2 linked regions of the Arabidopsis thaliana genome follow. The protein of the gene in region 1 interacts with the protein of each later gene in a biochemical or structural test. Each region holds a gene or a part of one and is shown on either strand. Other genes may lie near its edges. The genes, in order: RAD23B and RPN10.

Evidence for each region.
Region 2: the proteins of RAD23B (region 1) and RPN10 form a complex in vitro, tested with the Arabidopsis thaliana proteins (one study listed by BioGRID).

Annotation. Positions count from the first base shown.
Region 1 is NC_003070.9:29,969,257-29,981,362, forward strand, and holds RAD23B (Rad23 UV excision repair protein family), read right to left. Parts: upstream 6,026-12,106; 5' UTR 5,877-6,025; coding exon 5,811-5,876; intron 5,557-5,810; coding exon 5,395-5,556; intron 5,175-5,394; coding exon 5,136-5,174; intron 5,072-5,135; coding exon 5,024-5,071; intron 4,931-5,023; coding exon 4,860-4,930; intron 4,790-4,859; coding exon 4,718-4,789; intron 4,633-4,717; coding exon 4,455-4,632; intron 4,379-4,454; coding exon 4,253-4,378; intron 4,171-4,252; coding exon 4,105-4,170; intron 3,823-4,104; coding exon 3,775-3,822; intron 3,676-3,774; coding exon 3,566-3,675; intron 3,444-3,565; coding exon 3,359-3,443; intron 3,267-3,358; coding exon 3,150-3,266; 3' UTR 2,852-3,149; downstream 1-2,851. Other genes in the region: AT1G79640 (Protein kinase superfamily protein), read right to left, coding at 115-180, 285-455, 544-612, 684-765, 857-901, 1,032-1,156, 1,308-1,562, 1,676-1,834; AT1G79660 (ephrin-A3 protein), read left to right, coding at 7,038-7,319; RFO1 (Wall-associated kinase family protein), read right to left, coding at 7,631-8,838, 8,932-9,054, 9,157-10,081; WAKL10 (WALL ASSOCIATED KINASE (WAK)-LIKE 10), read right to left, coding at 10,932-12,106. UniProt on the Arabidopsis thaliana protein: May be involved in nucleotide excision repair. Binds and presumably selects ubiquitin-conjugates for destruction. Prefers multiubiquitin chains rather than single ubiquitins, with a binding affinity for 'Lys-48'-linked ubiquitin chains.
Region 2 is NC_003075.7:18,052,764-18,064,411, reverse strand, and holds RPN10 (regulatory particle non-ATPase 10), read left to right. Parts: upstream 1-4,813; 5' UTR 4,814-4,952; coding exon 4,953-4,964; intron 4,965-5,045; coding exon 5,046-5,159; intron 5,160-5,253; coding exon 5,254-5,359; intron 5,360-5,486; coding exon 5,487-5,601; intron 5,602-5,680; coding exon 5,681-5,893; intron 5,894-6,104; coding exon 6,105-6,384; intron 6,385-6,468; coding exon 6,469-6,565; intron 6,566-6,648; coding exon 6,649-6,749; intron 6,750-6,847; coding exon 6,848-6,916; intron 6,917-7,001; coding exon 7,002-7,055; 3' UTR 7,056-7,424; downstream 7,425-11,648. Other genes in the region: AT4G38650 (Glycosyl hydrolase family 10 protein), read right to left, coding at 1-42, 122-226, 303-478, 565-724, 824-864, 954-1,035; AT4G38640 (Plasma-membrane choline transporter family protein), read left to right, coding at 2,321-3,384, 3,832-4,177, 4,268-4,528; MYB4 (myb domain protein 4), read right to left, coding at 9,536-10,121, 10,284-10,546. UniProt on the Arabidopsis thaliana protein: Plays a role in maintaining the structural integrity of the 19S regulatory particle (RP), subcomplex of the 26S proteasome.

The sequences.
Region 1 (12,106 bases):
ATGACAAGCGTTTAAAGGCTAAATACTTTGCAGAACAAGTTAAACTAAAAACCAAAAGCTAGAGACTCAAAACAAAGATAAATAAAGCTAAAAGTGGAAACTGGAAACACAAACCTGGGACAATTCTTCCTTTTCTCCATCTGCCATTTTCTCTTGTGCAAGCATATCTTCTTCCTTTCTCTGCATGCAGAAAGAATATTCCCATCAGATTTCCCCATGAGATGCTGATTGATAATATTCAACATTATAGCTACTGGCTATCTACTTAGATCTACATATCTAACCTTTATTGCCTGAACACGATTAACAAGATCTGGTAACCCATCCAGAAGTTTTCGTGCAATGTAATCGCTTGATCTTGCTTGCTTGAAAAAGGAGTGCTTTAACAACTTTTTTGCAGACGGGCGTTTGGAAGGGTCTTTAACTAGACAACTGGCGATCATCTGCTTGAAAGACTGAAAATACCAGGAAGAAAGGCAAAATTGAGATGACAATAGCCAAACATTCTGACCATAATATATAGTTTTAAAACCGAGAATATACCCTGGAAAACTTCTTATCTCTTTCGTAATCCAGCCCTGGTGGTGCATTTTGCAACGTCATAAGCAGAACCTGAAAACATATTTGGTTTAGATAGAAGCAAAACTTTTGGAGATGAAATCCAGGTATCACAGGCTATGAACCTTCATTGGTGGATATTTAGAGAAAGGAGCGTGACCATGAGCAAGCTCTAGCCCAGTTATACCAAACGACCAAATATCAGCCCTGAAGGAGATGCTCCAAATAAGATATACTATATATTCATCCAATAAGCGAATAAATAGAATGATATAACTTTGTATAAGGCTAAACTAACTTGAAGTCATAACCATGTAGCTGCTCCATGACTTCAGGTGCCATCCTGTGACAAGAAGAAATAGTAGTAGGTCATGCACATGAGAACTAACCTCAAACACTGTTAATGTCCTCCACACAAAAAAAATATAAGAAGGTATTGGGGGCAGTAGTTAGCAACTAGCGTGGGTACTTACCAGCAAGGTGTTCCAACAAATGTGTTCCTTGTCCGTTGCCTATCACCTGAATCAAAGAGACAGGCAGATACACCAAAGTCTCCCAACTTGACTGCACCTCGAGCACCAAGCAATATATTCCCAGCCTGAAATGAAAACATAAAGATATAGTCACAACGTGTAAAGTTGACAGAGTCATTTGATGATAAACACAATTCAAAACCACAAGATTACAAAGTAAGATGAGCTAAAAGAATTGCCAAGTGAAGTGAAATCCAGACAGGTGGAATAACTGACTTTGACATCGCGATGAATGTGGCCATGCTGATGGAGATAGTCTAATCCCTTCAAAGCTTCACGCAATATAGTAGCTATAATAGCTTCTTCAAAACCATCAGGATATGCAGCTTTTAGAATGTGAAGACAAGAACCACCAGACATGTATGGCATGATGACCCACAAATTGTGATCACTAACAAAGGAACAATGTGACTTCAACACATTGGGATGATCAACAAGCATCATCGTCTGCGCTTCACGAGAGATGTTGTTCTGCCCCCAAATCAATAAAAAAAACGTAATCACTTTAGATACAATGCAAATTACAAAAACACAAAAAAAAATCCAGATTCAGAGTCAGAGAACAAGAGAATATATATAATCACCAGATCGCAGTTATCGCGTTCAAAATCAAGAATCTTAATAGCAACGACTTCATCAAACGGAATGCACAAAGCACGATGCACTAGAGCACTAACACCTTGTCCAATAAACTCGTAGAGAGTATAATGCTCTGGTCCAATTGGATACTTCTTCTTCTCCATTGTCTAGATCCTTTGGTTTCACTGAAACCACAATTCAGAAAACTCAATATCTTGTTTCAAATTCCAAATCTCTTCAGCAACAAAATTAGGGGAGAATCAAAGATTACCTGGAATTGAGAGGCGGAAACAAAAACGCAGCTGGTTACAGTGGAGTAAATCTACAGAATAAATTCAAAAAAAAAAAGGGAAACAAATAAGATTCATAAAAAACCTAAATCTCGTCGCAATAACTATTCGCGTAACGGTGGGAAGCGAAATTAAAAACAATATTAGTACCGGGAAAATTACGACACCCATGTAAAATAATCAAGAAACAAATTAATGAGAAGAGTGAGAGAAAAGGAAAGAGACAGATATCGTGCTGATGAAGATATTGAACGATGATGATGATGATGATCTTCTTATTAAGTTTTTTTGTCTACTTTCTATCAAAATTTTCTGGAGAAAGAAAACGAGAAAAAACGAGAGAGAATGAGAAAGAGAGAGTCACAATCGGATCGCCGCTCAAATGGGGAGAAGCTTTTTGGGCTCTGTTAAATTTGGAATCCCGCCACTTTAGGTCTCTTTCTGCTTTTTTGCCCTTTTCTCCCTTCAAATTTCCTTTTTTTATTGCTATTTATTTTCTTTTGTTAAAAAAAAAAACTGACCGTCTACGTCTCATTAATTGTTTAACCTAGAATGGATAAGGAACACTTAATCAATTTGATTAATTTTCTGGTGAAATAACCGATTCCGGTTTATGAGCTTTACCAATGCAAGAAAATTCAAAATCGTAATTTATCAATCAAATTTCTGAATTTGCACCAAACCAACCGGTAGAAACCAGATGAAACCGGAGACGCTACCTAATTAACCCAAAATGTATGATATCAGCACAACACTTCATTTCTGGTAACGAAATTGAGAAATTCGGGATTTGGGCTAATACCAGAGAAGCCATCGGTTTTCCTGAACCAAATAAAACCGGTCTCCACCTAGTGTATCTTACTTATCACCGGAAAATCCGTGTTTTGGCAATTAATCACAACAACATAGGAACATGTTGGTTAGGATAAATATCTATCGATTACACTTTATGTTTATCCCTCGAGAATTATGTGATCACACTTTTGTATCTCTCTGCTTCAATATCTATCACAAACGTAACAACCGCCCCCATCGCAAACGGAGAAAATAATATTCAAAACAAAAAAAGGACAAACTAAGTCACAGAGAGAGAGAGATCAAATCCCACACATTAATTCACGGAAGATATGTAATTCAACGTAAGAAAAGAGCCAAAACTTTTTCGAAGAAGAGATAACGTTTTGTGAACTCAGTCTTCAAAGTCACCTGAGTTCTCCAATAGATAGTTAGCTGCCAATTCTTCATTTCGGTCACATGCGAGGAACGCTTCTATTACTAAGGCTCTATCAAATCCCATTGCCTCGAGCTGTTAGATAGGCCAGAGGCCAGGGATATAGTTAATAAGGGTTGCAAAGAAAAAAGTGTGGAAACAGAGTGTTACTATTAATGGTGTTTTACCCGTTGAATCGCTTCTTGTTCTGCTGGGGTAACGTTAATGGCATGTGGCATTTCTTGCTCGGGTTGATCGAACATGTCCCCCTCCCTGATGAGTTATGTTTTTAAACTTTGTGAATCAAATTATTTAGTTTAATGAAATATCAATAAGAAGCATATAATTACATCTGACAGAACCTTAGATTACAATAAACAGATTGGAGGACTCACCCGTCAGAACCCTCATAGGGCTCATTTACTAACTGAAGAAACTCTGCCTGGTTTTCTTGAATTAGCCTCAGAAGTTGAGGGTTTTGCTTTCCAAGTTCCTGAAGCATGGGCTGGTAACAAAAGCAGTTGTTCCAACATAAGAGGTTCGGAATCAGTGAGAAGTCTTACAAACTACTGGACCAGGATAACGAAAACTAGACGAGTCTTACCTGAAGAATTTGAGGGTTGGAATGGACCATGGTGCGTAATTGTTGGAACTAATGTAATAGCAAATACAAGAGAATGAGTATATGGAGTAAATTTACAAAAGTTAGAACGAACAGTCAAAGCATGTTAATATCATCTCGGTTAATCATCCCTTGATAGAATGGCTATACCAGACAAACAATCTCCACATAAGTTGATCAAATGTGGTTCTAACCAATCTAGATGCCTTTTCATATTCACAATCGGTCAAGAATGATGAGGAGAGATCCAAATAGTTAAAAGATAAGAACTTCGCAATTTAGGGAAAATGCAGATATAGTTAGAATAGCAACCTGGTCATTGTTTCTAAGAAATTCAAGTGTCCCAAGATCTCCAGAGCCAGCAGCAGCAACTGTTTCCTGGGGAAATTAAGCCACAGAGTGAGATGGTAACTAAATATACCTTTCAATTCTATTGGATACACAATTAATACAAAAGTACCTGAGGAAATAAATCCAAAGGAGATGAGTTAGGTCCTCCAGATGCAGGTGCAACAGGGGCTGCACCGGATCCTGCAATCTGAGCCTCAGGTACTGGCACAGCTACTTCAGCAGTTTGAGGAATTCCCTAATATAAGAAAAAAATTGTCAATAATTTCATCCTTTGAACCTTTAGCGAATAATGTTACAGAGAGAGCCCATACAGAGTACAAATAATCCACTGCTCTCTCAGGGTTGTTATAAGCTGCACGAAGTGCACGAGTAACTGTTTCTTTGTCCCAACTTCCACCTCCCATTTCCATTATCTGTTGGACCATTTGCTCAAGACTACTACCACTAACTAATGTTGACGCAGCTTGTCCATAGGTGTCAGTCTGTGCCCTGCCACACCATTCAATTGTGGAGACTATAATGTATTAATGAATCCACAACAACTAAGTTATAAAACTTATACTAGAGGTCAAACATGGAAACTTTTGGAAAACCATATAAGGGGCAAAAGGCAAGCCCTGCAAAAGAAAAGACGAAAGCATAGACACTAGAAAGAGAGAGAGAGAGGTAGAGAGAAAAGAGCTCTAAATAATCTCATTTTCCAATTATAAACTTACGCCGGTTGTTCTTGAGCAGGAATAGGTGAAGCAGGAACAGGTGAAGACTGGGTTGTAGATGGAGCTGCAGGCTGGTTTTCCAAGACGTGTTTGTATTAAAACAACCAGTATAACAAGCTGCTCATCGCATATTTCAACAAATAAAATATATGCAAGAAAGTTACCTTAGTCGAAGATGTGGTAGCGGAAACAGGCTGTGAAACAGAAGAAGTCTGACACACTAAGAATCATCAGAATAAGCCAATGATGTGAAAATATGAGAAATAAATAAATTACCTGAACCGAAGCCTGACCAGCTGAACCTCCAGATTTGCTCTACAATTCATCAATAACCAAAGGAAAAGACAATGTCAGTGCCATTACAAGATAAATGATGTTTCATAGGTAGGAAACAATCATGAAAGAGACATCTAGGAACATATGCCTAAAGACACTTATTCATCAGCTTTTATCCTTGTTTAAGGTAAATAAGAAGACTGATTTGTTGAAGATAAAAGAAGTATGATCTTTGCAGTAGCCAGATTTGAACTGTTACCTTGCTAAGCATAACGACGAGAAATCCTTCCTCCGTAACTTTGTTCTCCACCAGGCTAGTTTCATCTTTCAAAACTTTTCCATTGTGAATCAACAATTGCTGCCCACATGGATAATTGTCTTTTCCTTGTGAATCTTCTATATTCTTCTTCACCGCCATTATCTTAAAAACAAGCACATCATGCCCAGATTTAATGATTTGAAGACTAACATAATCAACTTGACCAAACCAGATTGGATTCGCGAGTCATAATTTTAGCAGTTAATAAAGCTATTAAACACTTATAGAATAAAAAAATTTGATCACCAAACATTCAAAATTGTGGATCTGAGTCTCTTCTATGTGAGATTCCTACTTCTCTCTACTATACTAGGCGAAAATTACGTAAACGCATGGACGAAGAAAGTAGAACTAACCGTATCGGAGGGTAAAACCCTAATTTCAAAATGACTGCCCTTGAGAGTTTTAACGGTGAGCTTCATATCGTCGGAAAAATTGAAATCGACGGCGAGATACGACGGCGGAGAGAGTGTACAGAGAGAGACAGACCTAAGAAAAGCTCAAATCAAGAGATCGAGGCCCCGACGCTAGAGAAAAGCTGACCGTAGCTAAAACAGTCTCTCTCTCTAGCAACAGAGCGTTTTGGATTTCAAACGCGGCAAGAGATCGCCATGTGCAATCCACGTGACACATGCATCTCCAATTCGGCCCAGCTGGTCACAATTCTACATGCACCAAAGAAATATTAATAGCCCAGTAAGGCCCTATGTTAGTGGGCTACGCCCTTTAAATGACATTAAATTAGACTAACACAAAACAGTTCTGGTTAGTATGAGTAATAATAATTAAGTTTTGTTGTCGGTATTTAGCAATCAATTTTCTAAGGATATACTTTGACATTTAAATCAATAGAGAGTCATGTAATGTCGGTCGAGGACTTAAAAGCCAGCTAGAATAATAACAACCCCACATGGGACATTTATAAAAAGGTCACACAAAGTAAGTAAGTGGAAAATAACTCAATTCCAGACCAACCCAACACGCAATTTAATTCTCTCTAATCAATTTAGTTCCTAAATATCCGGTTTTTGAGAAGAAACCCGCGTTTACCGGCGAATCGGCTCTTTACTCTCTAGCCGGAGACGAGATCTACAATTTTGACGACTCTGCCTAAGATATAGCAATTATTGGGAGCTGCACGAAGAAGATTTTATTTGGTCGACGGAGCTGGAATCAGCTATTCTTTCTTCTTCTCCCTAATCGTTTCTTTTAGCAGCTCTTTCTCTCTCACCCGAAGGTTCGTTATCTCTTTTCCTGATTCGATCCGTTTCTTTTTATTTATTTTGCGTCATGTTTTGAGTTTTCTTCTGTTGGATCGTCTAATTCGTTTTAGTTTCGAATAAAATGGATGATCCAGATTTACTAAGCTTGTTTATAATCCCACATGAAAGATTAATCTCGTCTTAAAATTCGTCGACAAATCGTTTGTTTTGAAATTTGGCAATGTTACATGTTTTACATCCCATTGTTTATCTCGTATCTGCAATTTTATTTTTTGAAGAAGCTTTTGGTTTATGAACTCAAAACTTGTGTGTCATTTTTCAGGTTGGTGTTAAGCTGGAAAGGTTGGTCTTTTAGAAGATATGGTTCTTGATGGGATTGTATCATCACCATTACGGAGGCCACATGCTCTTAAGAAGCAATGGGATGACTTGGGTAGCTGCTCTACTGTTGTCCAGAGGCATCGTTTCCTTTTGACTGCTATGCTTCTTTTGGCATTCCTCTGCACCATTTATATCTACTTTGCCGTCACACTAGGCGCTAGGCACTTGTTGTGCTCAGGGATGACTGGAAAAGACAAGGCAATGTGTCAAATGGAACACATCCAAGCCAGTTTCTCCAACGGAAAACTGAAATTCTTCTAGAGTGTCAGCCTAAGCTGATTGCATTATATAAACATTTGTCTCTCTGTTGAAATGTGTGTGTAATCGCCTAAAGAATGGCTTGTAAACCCATCAGAATCTACACGTACCTTATTCTACTTTGATTATGTCCCAAGATTCACAGTTATTGTACAAATATGAATCTTCTGTAATCGAATATATATGCTAAAAGTTTTGGAGAATACAAGTTTTTTTCTTTGACATCATCAAATTTTTTATTAATAAAGAATGGAACATTGAGAGAATTTGTTATCACAGCACTTTGTACATTTGCAGTGTTTTAGGTTCCATCATCACCATGTTCGTTGAGGAACCAGCGGTTCAACGTCTAACTTGGGCGATAAATCAAAGAGGGAAGCTGGAGCAGTCATGTCGACGCTCCAAGAATCATCCATGTTGATTTCCATGGCGCATTCTTCTTCGTCCTCCTCTTCAATATGTAACTCCAAATCTTCGGGTGATGAACGGATCCTCTCAAGCTCAACTGAAACCTCTCTCATATTTGGTCGTTTCTTCCCTTTTAGACTTAAACACCTTCTGGCAAGTTTCGCCACAGCCAACACTTGTTCCAACGTGCAACCTTCTTTGATCCGAGAATCAACAATATCAAGAACTCTGTTCTGTTTCATAGCCTCATTGAAATGAGACACAAGTCCTCTGTTTTCTTCGGGCCGCATTACAGAAAACGGCTTTTCTCCAGTTATGAGCTCAACCAAGACGACCCCAAAACTATAAACATCACTTTTATCCGTAAACTGGCTAGTTTGAAAGTACTCTGGATCCAAGTATCCAAAAGTACCTGCAACTAGAGTAGTCAAGTGAGTTTGATCTACGTTTATGGATCTCGAGGTCCCGAAATCCGATACCTTGGCTCTATACTTCTCATCCAAAAGTATGTTTGTGGTCTTGACATCTCTATGATAGACCGGAGTTGATGCAGCCGAGTGCAAGTAAGCAAGTGCTCCTGCAATCTCAACAGAGATGCGCAATCGCACATCCCAAGTCATAGTGTAATCATCAGAATCATGGTGAAGCCGCTTGAATAGGTCTCCATTTGGAATATGTTCATAAACCAAGATAGGAACCTCTGTCTCGAGACAACACCCCATGAGTTTGACAATATTTCTATGGTTAATCTGCGAGAGAACACCAACTTCATTGATAAACTCCTCAACTTTATCTTCATCTAAAACTTTAGATCTTTTCACAGCAACAATTCGCCCATCTACCAACATTCCTTTGTAGACAGTGCCTTGACCTCCTTGCCCAAGAACCCTGTTCATATTGAAGTTATCCGTCGCTTTCTCCAGCTCTTTCGAACTGAATATCTTCGATGACTGCACATTACCTCCTCTTGTAGTTAACTGTTGTTTCAACAACAAGCCTCCATTACGTTTAAAGAACATTCTCTTTCGGATAATCTTCCTTCTCTTCTTAACGAACTTGATCAATCCCCATATCCCAAGTACCAAGAACAACAGTGGAAAACCTAGAACAAGACCTGCACAAGGACGAAAGAAAACTATAAAGATCATCACTCTTTTTTGCTCTGTGATATGACTTTGGAATCTGGAAAAGAACTCCATTGATTCACCTGGAAACAGAGGCTTGATCTTCCCTACTCCATTCAGCTCGCACCTCCACGATCCAGGAACATTCACACAAGTTAGTTCTCCACAGCTGCTTAGTCCTTTTCCTTCCTCACATTCGTCAATGTCTTAAAAACAAAATGAACAAAAAAGGCTGAATCAACACATCCGTAATCACTTAATTAAAACCCCATTGAAGCCAAATAGACGAAGAAACACATAAATCTTACCAATGCATCCACCAGGAAGATAAGGATTCCCTCTGTAACCAATCTGATTGCAGTAACAGTTACTGTAACCAAAGCCAGAGAAGTTACCATACTCACAAACACAGCTCGGTGCGCTCGTGTAAATCCCTGTTTCCGTCAAATTCACACAACCCACAGGATTCGTTAACCGAGAATCTGATGTATCAAAGTACCAACCAAGCTCAATCACCGTAAACCCATTAGTATAAAATTGTTCCGGCTCTGTAACATTCGCCGGAGAGTAAGTCTCATTCGTCAAGAAAGCAACTTTACAGTTTCCTCCTTGAGTTGTGTTACCACCGGAGCTTTCAAGGTCAACGCCGATTACTTGCGGTCTATCCGCCGGAATCTTCGCCTGACAACATGTGTAACCACCGCAGATCTTGTCTAAACGACTCTTATCTCCGTCGCAGCTCGATTCGCATCCTGTGATCTGAGATTCGATGTCTGTAATCAATGCTCTGTTGTCACAACCAACTGAGACGAGACGATTCGAGTCGGTGATGAAAAAGGGACTTCCTTTACCGGTGAGGTTTAAAGGAAGAGGCTTTACGGGTCGTTGAGAACAGCCGGAGGAAGTCACCGGAGATTTAATGTGAACAACTCCGTAGGAACTGTCGATGCTGCTTCGAAGAGTGATGCTAACTAATTCTCTGTTGATCTTATAGAGGAACGGAGCTAAGGATTTACCGGAGGTGGTGCTGTTACAGACAACCTCGTACCAGTCGTTGAGAAAACAGTCTCTTCGTCCGATTCCAAAAGGAAAAGGAATCTCGATTCCTCCACAGATACGGTTACATGAAGTTGAAGAAGAAGGTGGAGATTGAGCTGTCGTTATCAAAGGACCATTGATGAACAGAGTTAGGATAGAGAGTAGAACAGAGAAAAAAAGTCTCCTTCTCTTCATTTTTTTTTTCTCTAATGACTTTTATGTATGAAAGTTCTATTTTAGAAATTATTGAGCCGTCTCGTTGGAATTTGGAAGTTCTATTTTGTCAACGGTCAAGGGATCAATTATCATTACAAGTTTACACAACTTATTGTCCAAATCAATTTTGTAATTTTTCATAATTAGAATCTTAATTTTAGTTATACGATTTTACTATCATTTTTTTTCCCAGATGATATAACAAAGTTGATTATTCACATAGATTATTAATATCAGGAAATTGACTATTCACCAACGCAAATCATTCATATGTGTGCAATGGAAAAGTTGACTATCTTAATTCTTAAACTAAAGGATCCTTTTCATCAGTCGAAATTTCTAAATTATGTTGGTTAAGGTTCCATCACATTGTCAATTAACATAATTTCTGTTAAACCGAAATGAATTGGTCATTGAGTCGAATCGGATTAAGGTTCAACATGATCCATGATCTGACCGGATTCACAAAATTCTCATATAATTGTAGTATAAATTTTTTTTTAAAAACAGTCTCAACGGTTTTATGTTTTGGACATGTATAATTATGTAAGAGAGCCCATGTCCAGATAACAAATACTTGAGTAAATTCTGTAATAATTATTGCCAAAATATTTAAAGAAGTAAACTATGAAATTATTCTTATGTATTGGGAAGTGTATAGTACAAAGTACAAACTACAAAGTGGTTACAAACAGATCTGTATGGTTAATAACACAAATTGACGAGTGACGACATTTATAGAAATAACTTCACACGTAAAGACCAAAACAGAACGTAAATGCAAAGATATGAGGTAGTAATAAATTTGTTTGCATGCATGGTTAATATATTACCGAGGAAACAATGGTTCAACATCTGACCGCGACGAAGATGTTGTAGCAATGCTGTATTGAGATGATGCGGCGGTAACACTCACGTAGTTTCTCGACTCTACGTTAACGTCCACTAATGTTTCTTTTTTTTCTTCTTCGTTTTCGCTAGCATACTCATACGGCTGCATATCTTCAGAATATGAACGAATCTTCTCCAATTCCATCGATACTTGTCTCATACTTGGTCGTTTCCTTCCCTTCATATTCAAACATTTCCTTGCAATTTTTGCGGCTGCTGTCACTTGATTCAACTTACAACCATCTCTTATTCGAGCATCAATAATGTCGGAGAGTCTGTTCTCTTTCATTGCAAGAGTGAAATAAGTTGCCAATGTCCTATATTCCTGAGATCGCAGAAAAGAGACTGATTTTTCTCCAGTGATTAGCTCCGCTAGCACGACTCCAAAGCTATAAACATCACTTTTGTCTGTGAATTGGCTCGACTGGAAATACTCTGGATCCATATATCCCACCGTGCCTGAAACTACTGTAGTGAGGTGGGTATGATCCACGGTCACCGTTCTTGAAGTACCAAAATCGGACACTTTGGCTCGATGTTTCTCATCTAACATTATGTTTGTAGACTTGATGTCTCTGTGATAGATTGGAGATGATGCAGCCGAGTGCAAATATGAAAGCGCTCCTGCAATATCTACAGCAATACGAAGACGCACTTCCCAAGTAGTCATCGTATAATCATCGGAATCATCATGAAGATGCTCAAAAAGGTTACCATTAGGAATGAATTCGTAGACTAGAATAGGGACATCTGTCTCTAGGCAACACCCCAAGAGTTTTACGATGTTCCTATGGTTGATTTGTGAGAGAATGACGACTTCGTTGATGAACTCTTCTAGCTTGTCTTCGTCTACGACTTTGGACTTCTTTACTGCTACTATTCTACCGTCTACAAGCATTCCCTTGTACACTGTACCTTGACCTCCTTCGCCTAGTATTCTGGTTAAGCTAAAGTTTTCGGTGGCTTTCTCCAACTCTCTTGAGTTGAACACTCTTGTACTGTCCACGTTGCCTTCAGTTGTAGTCAATTGTTGTTGCAACAATAAACCCCCATTACGCTTAAAGAATTTCTTCTTTTGGTTTAACCTCCTTTGTCTTCTAATAAATTTGTATA
Region 2 (11,648 bases), on another chromosome or scaffold:
GTTTTCTTTTGACACGTGAATTGTCACTGCTCGTTTTCTCGCCTGAAAATAAGTGTTAAGGAGGAACCACATAAAGAATGTAGTTTGCGATTTTAACGTTAGAAATTAGTGTGTGTATTACGGTATTTATGAAGTAATCTTGGTTGTTCCTCCATTGCTCCTGCGTGAATGGCTGAAGAGAGGCACTCGTCACTTGTAATTGGATCTTACCATCGTCCTCTGATGTCTGCATTATCAGAAAATTTACAGTCTTTGGGATCATCTAAGCTAATGAGATACTTTTGAGCATATATAGAATCTACCTCAAAGAAGAGGATGGATTGTTTACAAGGAGAATCAAGAAGGAATCCTCCTTTGAGGAAAGACCAGCAACCATGTTTGGCAGTTACAGAACCGACGCAGTTTAATGTGGCGTTGTCTGCTCTCAGCCTTGCTCTTACATGAGCTGATGCAGCACCAGCCTCTATCTTCACCCATACTGTGTCCATCAGTCAGATCATCACATTCATTTCATCTGTTAACGAATATATAACATTCTAGAGATGAAAGCATGAAATGCTTAACTGGAGAAGCAATAGATGGTGTTCTGTGTGAGATTGTGCAATATGTAAGTTGGTGTGTAATGAGCACCAATGCCTGTGAGAGAGTCTTTGCCTGGGACGGAAGGCTTTTGGTCCTTCAGCATTCCTCCATTGTATAGTGGCTTCTCTGCTTCGGCTCTACACTGTTGCATTTCACATACCACATAATGTATATATACTTTCTATCTATGCGCAATTACATATCTTGTGAAATTGAATTAATAGCTCAAAGCTTTAAAAACCTCTGTGTAGGCAGTAGAGTCGTAGAAAGGTCCATCTATACCTGAAGAGTAAAAACATCATATATCAAGCTAAAATTCTGTATACATGTATGTTATATACTATGGTATGCTATAATATACTTGTGTGTACCATTTGACGAAGAAGCAAGAGTGAAGGCGGTGAGGAGAGAAAGGGCCAAGAGGATCAAACAACACATCGACGAACATTTCATATTCAAAACAAGAACACAAAATCCTGCGATAGGAAAAGAAAAAAAGAGAGAAATCAAGGGGATGAAACCAAGTGCCTTGATGCGGTTGGATAGGTGGTTAGGCCATTCTCTATTTGGGAGAGTTTCATTCAGAGAGGGAACAATATGTCAGAAACACTGAACCTATTGAGTGAGTTCACGTGATGATGTTGTTATATGCGAAGTGGTTTTTTTTGTCATGTGAAGTTGTGCTTTTATATAGATACTAGCCTATTAGAGTACCACGGGTTGATGCATGCTTTGGTTACAAGTTTCTTACCTAAATCTTACCATTTGCTTGTTTTGTGTTTGTGTGTGTGTGCGTGCAAAAAACTCTCACGCCTGCAAAATGCAAACTCACGCTACGATCCAGATTTGTTTTCTATAGGAGATGGATATATCTGATAATAAAAATATTGAATATAGTTTTTTACTTTATTATAAAATATATAATTAAAAGTTAGAGATTTTGAATTAACATATTTAGTTTGATTCGAAATTTAAATTTACAAGATTTTGTACTAATGTTTTTAATTTCTTATTTTATAGAACTCAAATATTTGGAAAACAATACAAAAGGAACCAATTACCATAACTAAAGAACCACCAAAATTTTAAAAATTAATTTTGTTAGTTGATACAAAGGGAAACCAATATTGTCGTCTATGCATTTTTAGATTACGTTGTTGTCAACATTTGGATATAAATTTGTACGAATTTAGCTAAATTTCATATCTTTAAAGTTTAAACTCTCAAAAGATTTCAAAGATTTAGCTTTACAAGTGACAATTGGGCCCAAGTTAACAAACGTATCTGCCCTTGTGATGCAGTCACACGCTCCTTAGGAGTTAGGACTATTACTCTTGCATGCGATGATTTGGGCTTTAATACGGCTAGTTGGGCTTTGAGAATTCTCTTATCAGACTTTCTTCGAAGCCCGTCTCAATGTCTTCGTGAATTTTTCTTTTAATACTGGTAAAAGAAACTATACTAATATTTTAATGCACATGAAGATAATAATACTCCTTTGGACGGTATAATACCTGTATACGTGACTAATCAACGAATTAAATTTGAGCATTGTGGTGGCGAGATCTTGGATCATCTTCGCTTGGCCGCTTGGGCGGTGGTCGTCGGCATCGTCACTAATTAATTATTGTGATTAAGAAAAAATGCTAAATTGAGTTTCGTCGTCTTCTGCTTCTGCTTAAGCTTCTTCATCATTTAGCTCCAGAGGCGGAGCTTTCTTCTCTCTCTGTGGACGACCATGGCGGCGGACGACGGCGACCCCACTAAATTCGCTGCAATCTACGACTCATCCTCTCCGTCACACCCTCTTCTCTCTAAACCCTCCACGTCCGCTCTCGATTCTCCGCGTCGAAGTGATCCCGAATCCGACCCAACTCAGTTTCTTCAGATCTCCTACAATTTTGGCCCAAGAACTTTCAAGGACATCCCTTTCCTACTTCTCTTCGATCTTCTCGTACTCTCCACCTTTGGTTTTGGAATCTTCTCCATTTTTCATAGAAATAACGATTACGGGAACTCCTCTTCCTTCACCTACGATTTCACCTCTAGCTCCTGCGTCAAAAATTCTACCTTTACGAAAATTTCGGATGGGTACTACTGGGCTTCTTCGAGTGTCATGTACGGCATGGTTTCTTCGTCTGATCCAGTCTTTGAGAAGGATTTGATCTGGACACTTGTTGTAACGCTTATTTTAAGCGTGCCCTTCTGTTTTAGCGTCCTGCTTTTGCTCAAACACTACACTAAGCAGATTGTTTATGCTTGTTTACCTCTCTTTGTCCTTTTTCCCATCTTTTTCAATGTCTATTGGTTTGTCGCCTGTACTCTTAGCTCTTCTTGTAGCGATGCCCTCCCTCTAGCTTACAGAATACTTGTCCTAGTCTTTGTTTTCTTGATCATCGGGATCATTGTCTGGATCATAGTAGCTAATTGGCACAGAATTGATCTTACTATCCAAATCATCAGTGTTGCATCTGATGCCTTGTCCAAAAATTTGAAACTTTTTGTTGTGCTGCCGCTGCTGACTCTCGGGTTAGTGGTGTACTATGCGCCGATTGTGGTGTTCTTGGTGTTTGCAAGGTTTAATGGGAAGTTTGTGCCGCGAGAGTTGGATGGTCAGTACTTTTGTGAGTGGAAAGAAGATTCTTGGGTTCCTGCGTATTACGCTCTTGCCATTTTAACGATGATCTGGTCTCTTGCTGTAATGGTGGAAATGCAAGTGTATGTGATAAGTGGAGCTATTGCTCAGTGGTATTTCTCCAAGGAAGACTCAATCCCTAAAAAATGCATCCGGAGTTCTTTGAGGTGACTCGCTGCCACATCTTTCTCTATTTTATTCTTGTTATCAATGAATTTGCTGTGCAGTTTCTCTTACAATCAATGGTGCTCTTAGTTCTAATATATGTTTTGTGTGATCGCGGGAGTTTTTGCTTTGAGTTCTCTTAGTTTTGTTTCCTCATAAAATATAATCTATGGTCATTCGAAGTATCCCTTGCTTGGCTTCGTTCTGGAGTATTCAGTGATTCTAGGTCATGGTATTCATAGTCTTGGCCTTATAGATTGGATATTGTATTGGAATCCATCATCTGAACTTGTTTGGTACTTTAAATGTGAAAAGAGACAACAGACAGTGGTATTTTTGAAAGGAGATTATAGCTTTGAGGATCCAAATTTGCATTAGTCTTCAAATCTGTTGTTGGTTTATGTCAAAGCATGTGTGAATCTTATTATTTTTTGTATCTGTCTCTTCAGGAATGCATTTGGTCAATCCTTTGGTACGATATGTGTATCAGGACTTCTCATATGCATTGTTCGTGTGGTCCGGGCAATTGTGGACAATGCAAGAGAAGAGAACACACAAGGAATAGTGAACATGGTTCTCCGTTGCTGTGCAAACGCCTTACTTGGTGCCCTTGACTATCTCAACAAGTTCACCATCAACTTTGCTGCAATAACAGGGGAAGCGTATTGCACCTCTGCGAAAATGACTTACGAGCTGTTAAGACGCAACCTACTGTCAGCTGTATTTGTCGAAACGGTTTCCACCAGAATCCTAACCGGAATAGTCTTTGTCCTGTCAGCCGCATATGCAGTCGCGGTAAGTATTATCTTCTGCTTGTCTCACCAACCAAGCATTTAATAATTGCCATAATGACTAATTCCGGGGTTTGATGATGCGCAAAAGCAGACATGGGCTGTTCTGAGAGGAGTGAGCAACCTGGGTATAGATTCGTACGTGGTGGCTGTACTGGCGTGGGTGTTACTGATTGTGATATTGGCTTTCTTTGTACATGTTCTTGACGATGTGATTGACACAATCTATGTCTGTTACGCGATTGATAGAGACAAAGGGGATGTATGTAAGCAGGAAGTTCACGAGGTTTATGTTCACTTGCCTATCAGCAGAAGCACAAGATCTTCTCTCATCCCAAATGCTCTTAATGCATAGCAGAAGATGATCCAACGTCTCTGCTTGTTGTATCTTTTTTTGTTTGTTAGCACCGTTGTAAATTCCTCTCTGGTGAACTGTGGTTTGTCTTCTTGGGGTTTATATTGATGTTTTGTAGAGTTATGGGGTAACAATGTTGAATAAAAGAAAGACTTTAGTTATAGGAATTACTGTAATGTGGTCTGTGTTTCTTTTATTCATTAATAAATCAACTTTGTTTTGCTTTTTATCAAAAACAACCATTGGGGCTAAATTGAAATAAACGTAAAACATTAGGGTCTAAAAGGAGAAAGTAAAAAAGTAAAGGGGATATTTAAAGAAGAACAATGTTATTATTATCGGTCTAAACTAAAATCTAAATCTTGCCTTCCTGACTTTCTCTCTACGACAGAATTTTTGAAGCTTCTCTCTGCTTATCGACACGATGGTTCTCGAGGTGATTTTCCAATTACTTGTGCTTATCTTCGTTGATGATCCACGTTGAATGCTTTTTCTCATCGATGATTTCTTGTTGTAGGCGACTATGATATGTATCGACAACTCCGAGTGGATGCGAAACGGAGATTACTCTCCGTCTAGGTTACAGGCGCAAACGGAAGCTGTTAATCTTCTTTGCGGAGCCAAAACCCAGGTAATAATTTACGTTTTTTCACTTGATTCGATTAGGGTTTTTGGGTTTGCGTGAGATTGTGATTTTTAGGGATCTTTCTTTTTTGCAATTGCAGTCGAATCCGGAGAATACGGTGGGGATTTTGACAATGGCTGGCAAAGGAGTTAGAGTATTGACTACTCCTACCTCTGATCTTGGCAAAATTCTGGCCTGTATGCACGGTATGTATCTCTCTCTCCAATCTTTCTATTTATTATTAGCTGTCTACTTAGAGCAATTAGAAAAAATCTGTTCTTTCTCTTTATCATTGAGTTTGACATCAATTTGCTACTTGCGTCATCTTTTCAGGCCTTGATGTGGGAGGAGAGATCAACTTAACCGCAGCTATCCAGATCGCCCAGCTAGCTCTTAAGCATCGCCAAAACAAGAATCAACGCCAAAGGATTATTGTTTTTGCTGGAAGGTACCGAATTGCTTTGTTTTTGCTGAGTAACTTTTGTATAGTTTTATACTGATGTTTTTCTTCTGCTTCTACTTTTTAGTCCAATCAAGTACGAGAAGAAGGCCCTAGAGATAGTTGGAAAAAGGCTGAAGAAGAATAGTGTCTCTCTTGATATTGTCAATTTCGGGGAGGATGATGATGAGGAAAAGCCTCAGAAACTCGAGGCGCTCCTTACAGCTGTGAATAACAATGACGGTAGCCACATTGTTCATGTTCCTTCTGGAGCCAATGCTCTCTCAGATGTGCTTCTCAGGTACCATCCCTTTTCTTCTTTTTTTCTAGGTTATGTAGATTGTAAAAGGAACAGTTTCAACAATATCCGGCTTGGTAGGTGCACTTCATGTGGTTTTGTGTGTTTAGGTCTTTTGAGCTCTCTAGTCTTGCTTTTTATCAATGCTGCAACAAAACATTTAGACAGTGATTTGAATCATAGATAGTGTTTTAACTTTTAAATTTTCTTCCAGCACACCTGTATTCACGGGTGATGAGGGTGCAAGTGGCTATGTTTCTGCGGCAGCTGCTGCAGCGGCCGCAGGTGGGGACTTCGACTTTGGTGTGGACCCAAATATCGATCCAGAACTTGCTCTTGCCCTTCGGGTCTCCATGGAGGAGGAGAGAGCAAGACAAGAAGCTGCTGCCAAGAAGGCGGCCGATGAGGCAGGTCAGAAAGACAAAGATGGGGACACAGCTTCCGCCTCACAGGAGACAGTTGCTAGGACAACTGACAAGAACGCTGAACCAATGGTTAGTTGTTACTTAAAATTGAGTGTAGCATTCTTATATAGTCACAGGCGGAGAGATTGTTAATCATACAACCTTTTGTGGCAGGATGAGGACAGTGCGTTGCTAGATCAGGCAATTGCTATGTCTGTTGGTGATGTGAATATGTCAGAAGCGGCTGATGAGGACCAGGATCTGGCTTTAGGTAAGTAGAACAGTGTGGTAAAAGTATATCCATGGCAATCAAAATTGGCATTTTTCTTATATTTTTTTATACTCCATGTGCAGCTCTGCAAATGTCAATGAGTGGGGAAGAGTCAAGTGAAGCTACAGGTGCTGGAAACAACCTCTTGGGAAATCAAGCCTTCATATCGTCTGTTCTCTCATCGGTAAGCCTACATAAACCTTAGTCAGTTTTTTTCACAAGCAAAATGAAAGAGAAAAGTAGTAGGGTTAGCTTTGGTACTAAGACTTTGTGTACACGCAGCTTCCTGGGGTGGATCCAAATGATCCGGCAGTTAAAGAACTACTAGCGTCTCTGCCAGACGAGTCAAAGGTGTGTCTTTGTTGATGTTTATGATTACATCTTTTTGTTATTTGAAAAAGAAGATTCTGATAAATGTATATGGTTAAAATGACAGCGTACCGAGGAGGAAGAGAGTAGTAGCAAAAAAGGCGAGGATGAGAAGAAGTGAAGAAGGATCTGAGAGTCTCAATAAAAATTCCTCTTGTTTCTTTGGTTTGATAGAGATTGGAACTGAATTTAACTAATCTCTCTGCCTTGTGAAATTTGTTTTTTTCTCTCTCTCTCGCCTTTTTATAATGTTGTTATTGTACGAGTCAAGGACTAGCTTCCTTCTTAATTTTTATTGGACTTTATGTCAATGGGCTCTTAGAAAGTAAGCCTATTTGTTACAGGTCTCTCGATCAATTCAGTAGAATAGCGAGTCCTAAATTCGTAATGAACCTTGCACAAGTGTCAAATCTGAAATATTCTTACGACAGTGCAAAAAGTCTACATTGGTAATTAAATTTTGCTCACATTTCTGCGAAGTTATGTTTTTCTCCAAGTAATTAAAGTCCCACGTGGCAGTTAGGTACTTAATTCCTTTGTTCTACTGTTGGCTCGTTTTTTTGTTCTTTGCAATCTAATTTTTATATGCGCTTATTAGTCTGCTAATTGCAATCTATTTGCATTATTTAATTTATATTTATCCCAAGATATGTGTATTTGTCTGCTAATTGCCACATGCGAGCTGTAGTTTTGATCATCTACGTACGTGTAAACTATGCTACACAAACAAATTGAATTGCTAAATATGACTATCGTTAAAGACTTTTTATTGGGGAAACTTATTAGTGACGAAATTTCTTTGTTCCCTTTTAGAGCAAGAAAGGGAAAGACAAAAAGAGTCACAAGACTCACAAACTATAACATAAAAAAAAAGAAAGAAGAAAAACTGATAGAAGCTTCTATTGCATCTACCTAACACCTTTTGAAAAAGTCGTTTCTTTACAAATGAAAATGAATAATATTAGAAAGAAGAAGGAAGAGGAGGCAGGTGCGTCTGTCTTTGTTCACTTGTGTCTGTGTGTGTGGTCATCCTTTTGTCCTTTTCCCCTTTTTCCTTATCTTCAGTTCTCACCACTCCTCCTCTCCCATCTCTTTCATTTCCAAAATATCATCCTCCTCTATCAACTTCTACATGTTTTTTTTTGTTATTCCTTCACTTTCATAATATTTACCCAACCACTGTTAAATCTCGATGTTCGAAATTAATCAAACGTTCTCAACTTTATTTTAGACTTCAACTGATTTTGTTTTTTTTTCCAACTTTAAATTTGTTTCATTAGTTGATGCAACCTGAGAAAACTCTTATTGATTCCATTATTGTTGAGTTTGTATCTTCATCAGAATATGATATATATCAAGCCCCAGTGCTAGTGACAACAACTTGTCATTTGGTGATCATATAATTTCTCAAGTGATTATACCAGTTTTTGAGATCTTACCAATTTTTGGCCAAAACAAAAAAACAAACACACAACTGGAGTATATAACCATTTGATCAATTTTAAAACTAAATCTAAATATATACGAGGAAATAATATACTGCTCTATTGGGATTTGAGATGATAATTAATGTAGTAGCTAGAGAGGGTTTTTGTAGTGTTGAGGAGAGGATATCAACGAAGGAACATGTACAACACCGATTTTACCAAGCATCTTACGATAGAACAATGTTTAAGTTTACGAGTCGCTACTCTTTCTAAATTCAACCATGTGGCTACATTCAATGAAACTCCTATACATAATTTTTATATGCATGCATGCATAAATATATTATGTGGTATATGGATATACAGTATATGTATGTTATGCATTCATGTGTAATATGTATGTATGTATGTATGTATGTATGTATGTATGCAGATGTAGATCGCTTGCAAGTGGACAAAAGATGAGGAAAGGTTGGTATATAGGTTGGTAGGGAGATGGGTAGTGAGAAATAAATAGAGTTTGGTAGAAGAAAGGGTCCATTGGTTGTTGCTTCCTTTCCTTCATTTATGGTTTTCATTATTTTCTTTTTCTTTTTCACATATCTCTTTCTTTCCTTTTTTTATCTTAAAAACATTTAAGTTTTCTCCTACCTCCTTCTCTTACAACTTTTCTATTCCTGCCAAATTAACTACAAACCTCACTTTCCACTTGTCATGAAACATTTTCGATTTATCTTCTGTTTCACGTTCTTCTCCTAGATCTTTAATTATAGATCTTAACAAGGTATCATCTATACCAGTACAATCTAAGTATTATGTGATCAAGTATCTTTGCCATACTCGTAATCTTTTTTCTCCTTATTTGGCTTATCTCCAACATTGGATAACGAGTTATTTGGGCAACCAACCTAATCTTACCTCATAAACTGATAATCTTAATCGTATACAAATTAATTACAATAGAGCTATACGATCTAATGATCTATATTTTTATCACCGATCGTCTAGATCCGGTATTTAATATTTATGCCAATGGAGTTAATTTGTAAAAGAGAAAAAAAAACAAATTCTATATATTATAATTCACCAGTTAAATTTCTCATACAAGTTGAAGATATACTTTCAAATTATCTAGGCAAAAGTTTTGTACAGTTACGCCTAAAATTTGACAATATTATTTCATCTCCAAGCTTCGAAAGCCCAAAAGAGAAGTGGTCTCTTTCTTTGCCAACCCTAAAAAATCAAATCCATTGCTCATGTCACTCCCCTTGCTGCTACCTCCGACTACATCGCATCTCATTCTTCCGCATCTGCACTCCATGCCGTTTATCATCCCTAAGCTGCACTTGAAACAACGTGGCGTTGTTGACTTTCCATGCCCTTGAAGACGATCAACATCATCAGGAAGACTGATTCTGAGCTCAAGATTCAAATCTGGGAACTTTTCTTGAACTGGGCACTCATCTTTTTCTTCTTTGAACGTAAGCATTGAGATTTTCTCTGATTTTCCCGGAAAGCTTATACTTTCATGGAACGTTTCGACCTTTGGAGCAGAAGTGAATGAGATATTAATGGTATTACTCGTAACTGGTTCTAGTTGTGTAGGTTTAGAATCTTGAGAAGCTGATGATTCTTGGATTGGTCTATGACTCGTTGGATCAATCCCTCTGTTTATAAGCTTTCTTCGTATATGCGTGTTCCAATAGTTCTTTATCTCGTTATCTGTTCTTCCCGGTAATCTCCCGGCAATAAGCGACCATCTATATATCATCAACAAAAAATAACATCATTTAGATAGATTGAAAACTCCAAGATTTTCATTTTGTATAAATTAAAACGATACTAGTTTTTTTTGTTTTTTTTTGGGTATAAACGATACTAGCTAGTTAAATAAGCCCATATTTAGAGAGTATAGTACTCACTTGTTGCCAAGAAGGCTATGGAGCTTGATGATGAGTTCGTCTTCTTCCTCGGTGAAGTTTCCACGCTTAAGGTCAGGCCGGAGATAGTTGATCCACCGGAGACGGCAGCTCTTGCCACAGCGAAGAAGTCCGGCGGCTTTGGGGAGAGATCTCCAGCAGCCTTCTCCATGAGCTTTAATGTAGGCGACGAGCCTCTCGTCCTCTTCTTTCGTCCATGCTCCTTTGTTTGTGTGAGCTTTCTCACAGCACGGTGACCTTCCCATACTTTTATGTTTACTTTCTTTCTTGTGGTTTAGATCTTATTTCGTCTCAAAATCTTATATATAGGCAGATCAATTCTACTTGTTATTTTATATTGAGGGATTGGCTTTTAGCGAGGGTTTTGGCTAAAAGGGTATAAAGGGATTAAGTTGTTTTTTTGTGTAGTGGAAGAGGATTGAAGCATTTGGTGGGGCACTTGGATTTTGGGTTTGGTTGAAGGTTCAAAGCTTTGGTGTATAGTTTATATAGGGTTTTGACTTAAAGCTAGAGAGGAATATACACACATATATATATATACACAAATGCTTCTAGATGATAGAAAAGGAGAGAGAAAGAGAGTTGAACTTATAATTGCTTCTAGATGTGAGTTGGTGGGATGGATTTGAATGAGTAGTGTATGGTGGCCTTTCGTTTTGGTACAATAAGTGAGAAGCTTGACATATATGGCATCATAGTCTTTTGATAAAGCTATGACATTTTTTTAATAATCATGACAACAAATTTAATATTTCTCACTTAAATATATATATATATATATATATGTAATCAAAGAAATTTCTCGTGTTCGTATATACATAAACCAAAATTATTTAGCTACTTCTTTAATTTTTTTTCTTTCTTTTTTTACTTTGCAACAAGTTTTATTTAGTACAAAATATAAACCAACTCTGTCAAGAAATTAATCAATACATGACAATTCGAGTATTCGACTGTGTACATTTATTGACAAATCGTCTTTTAACTTCGACCGATTTAGTACAAACAGTAATTTATTTTTATTTTTTTGGAGTCTCTTACCTATCGTATGAATTAAGTTTGTAGTAAAACTTAGGCGGGTGAAAATTAATGTAGAAAACCTAAAATTCAGTAAAACAAAAAGTTTGTGAATGGCTTTTATCGCCAGATATTATAGGTCACAAGTAAAAATTTGGGTCTAACAAAGGAAGGGGAAACTTGAATAATTTGGTAGCAATAACGAAGAGAAGATATAATGAAGTAGTGGAGGTAGGTGGTAAAGTTAATGAGTGTTTTTTGGACAAGTGCAGGTCAACTATATAGCCTATGAGGTTTTTGTTGTACTGGTCAACAGTCTTTTCTCTAATA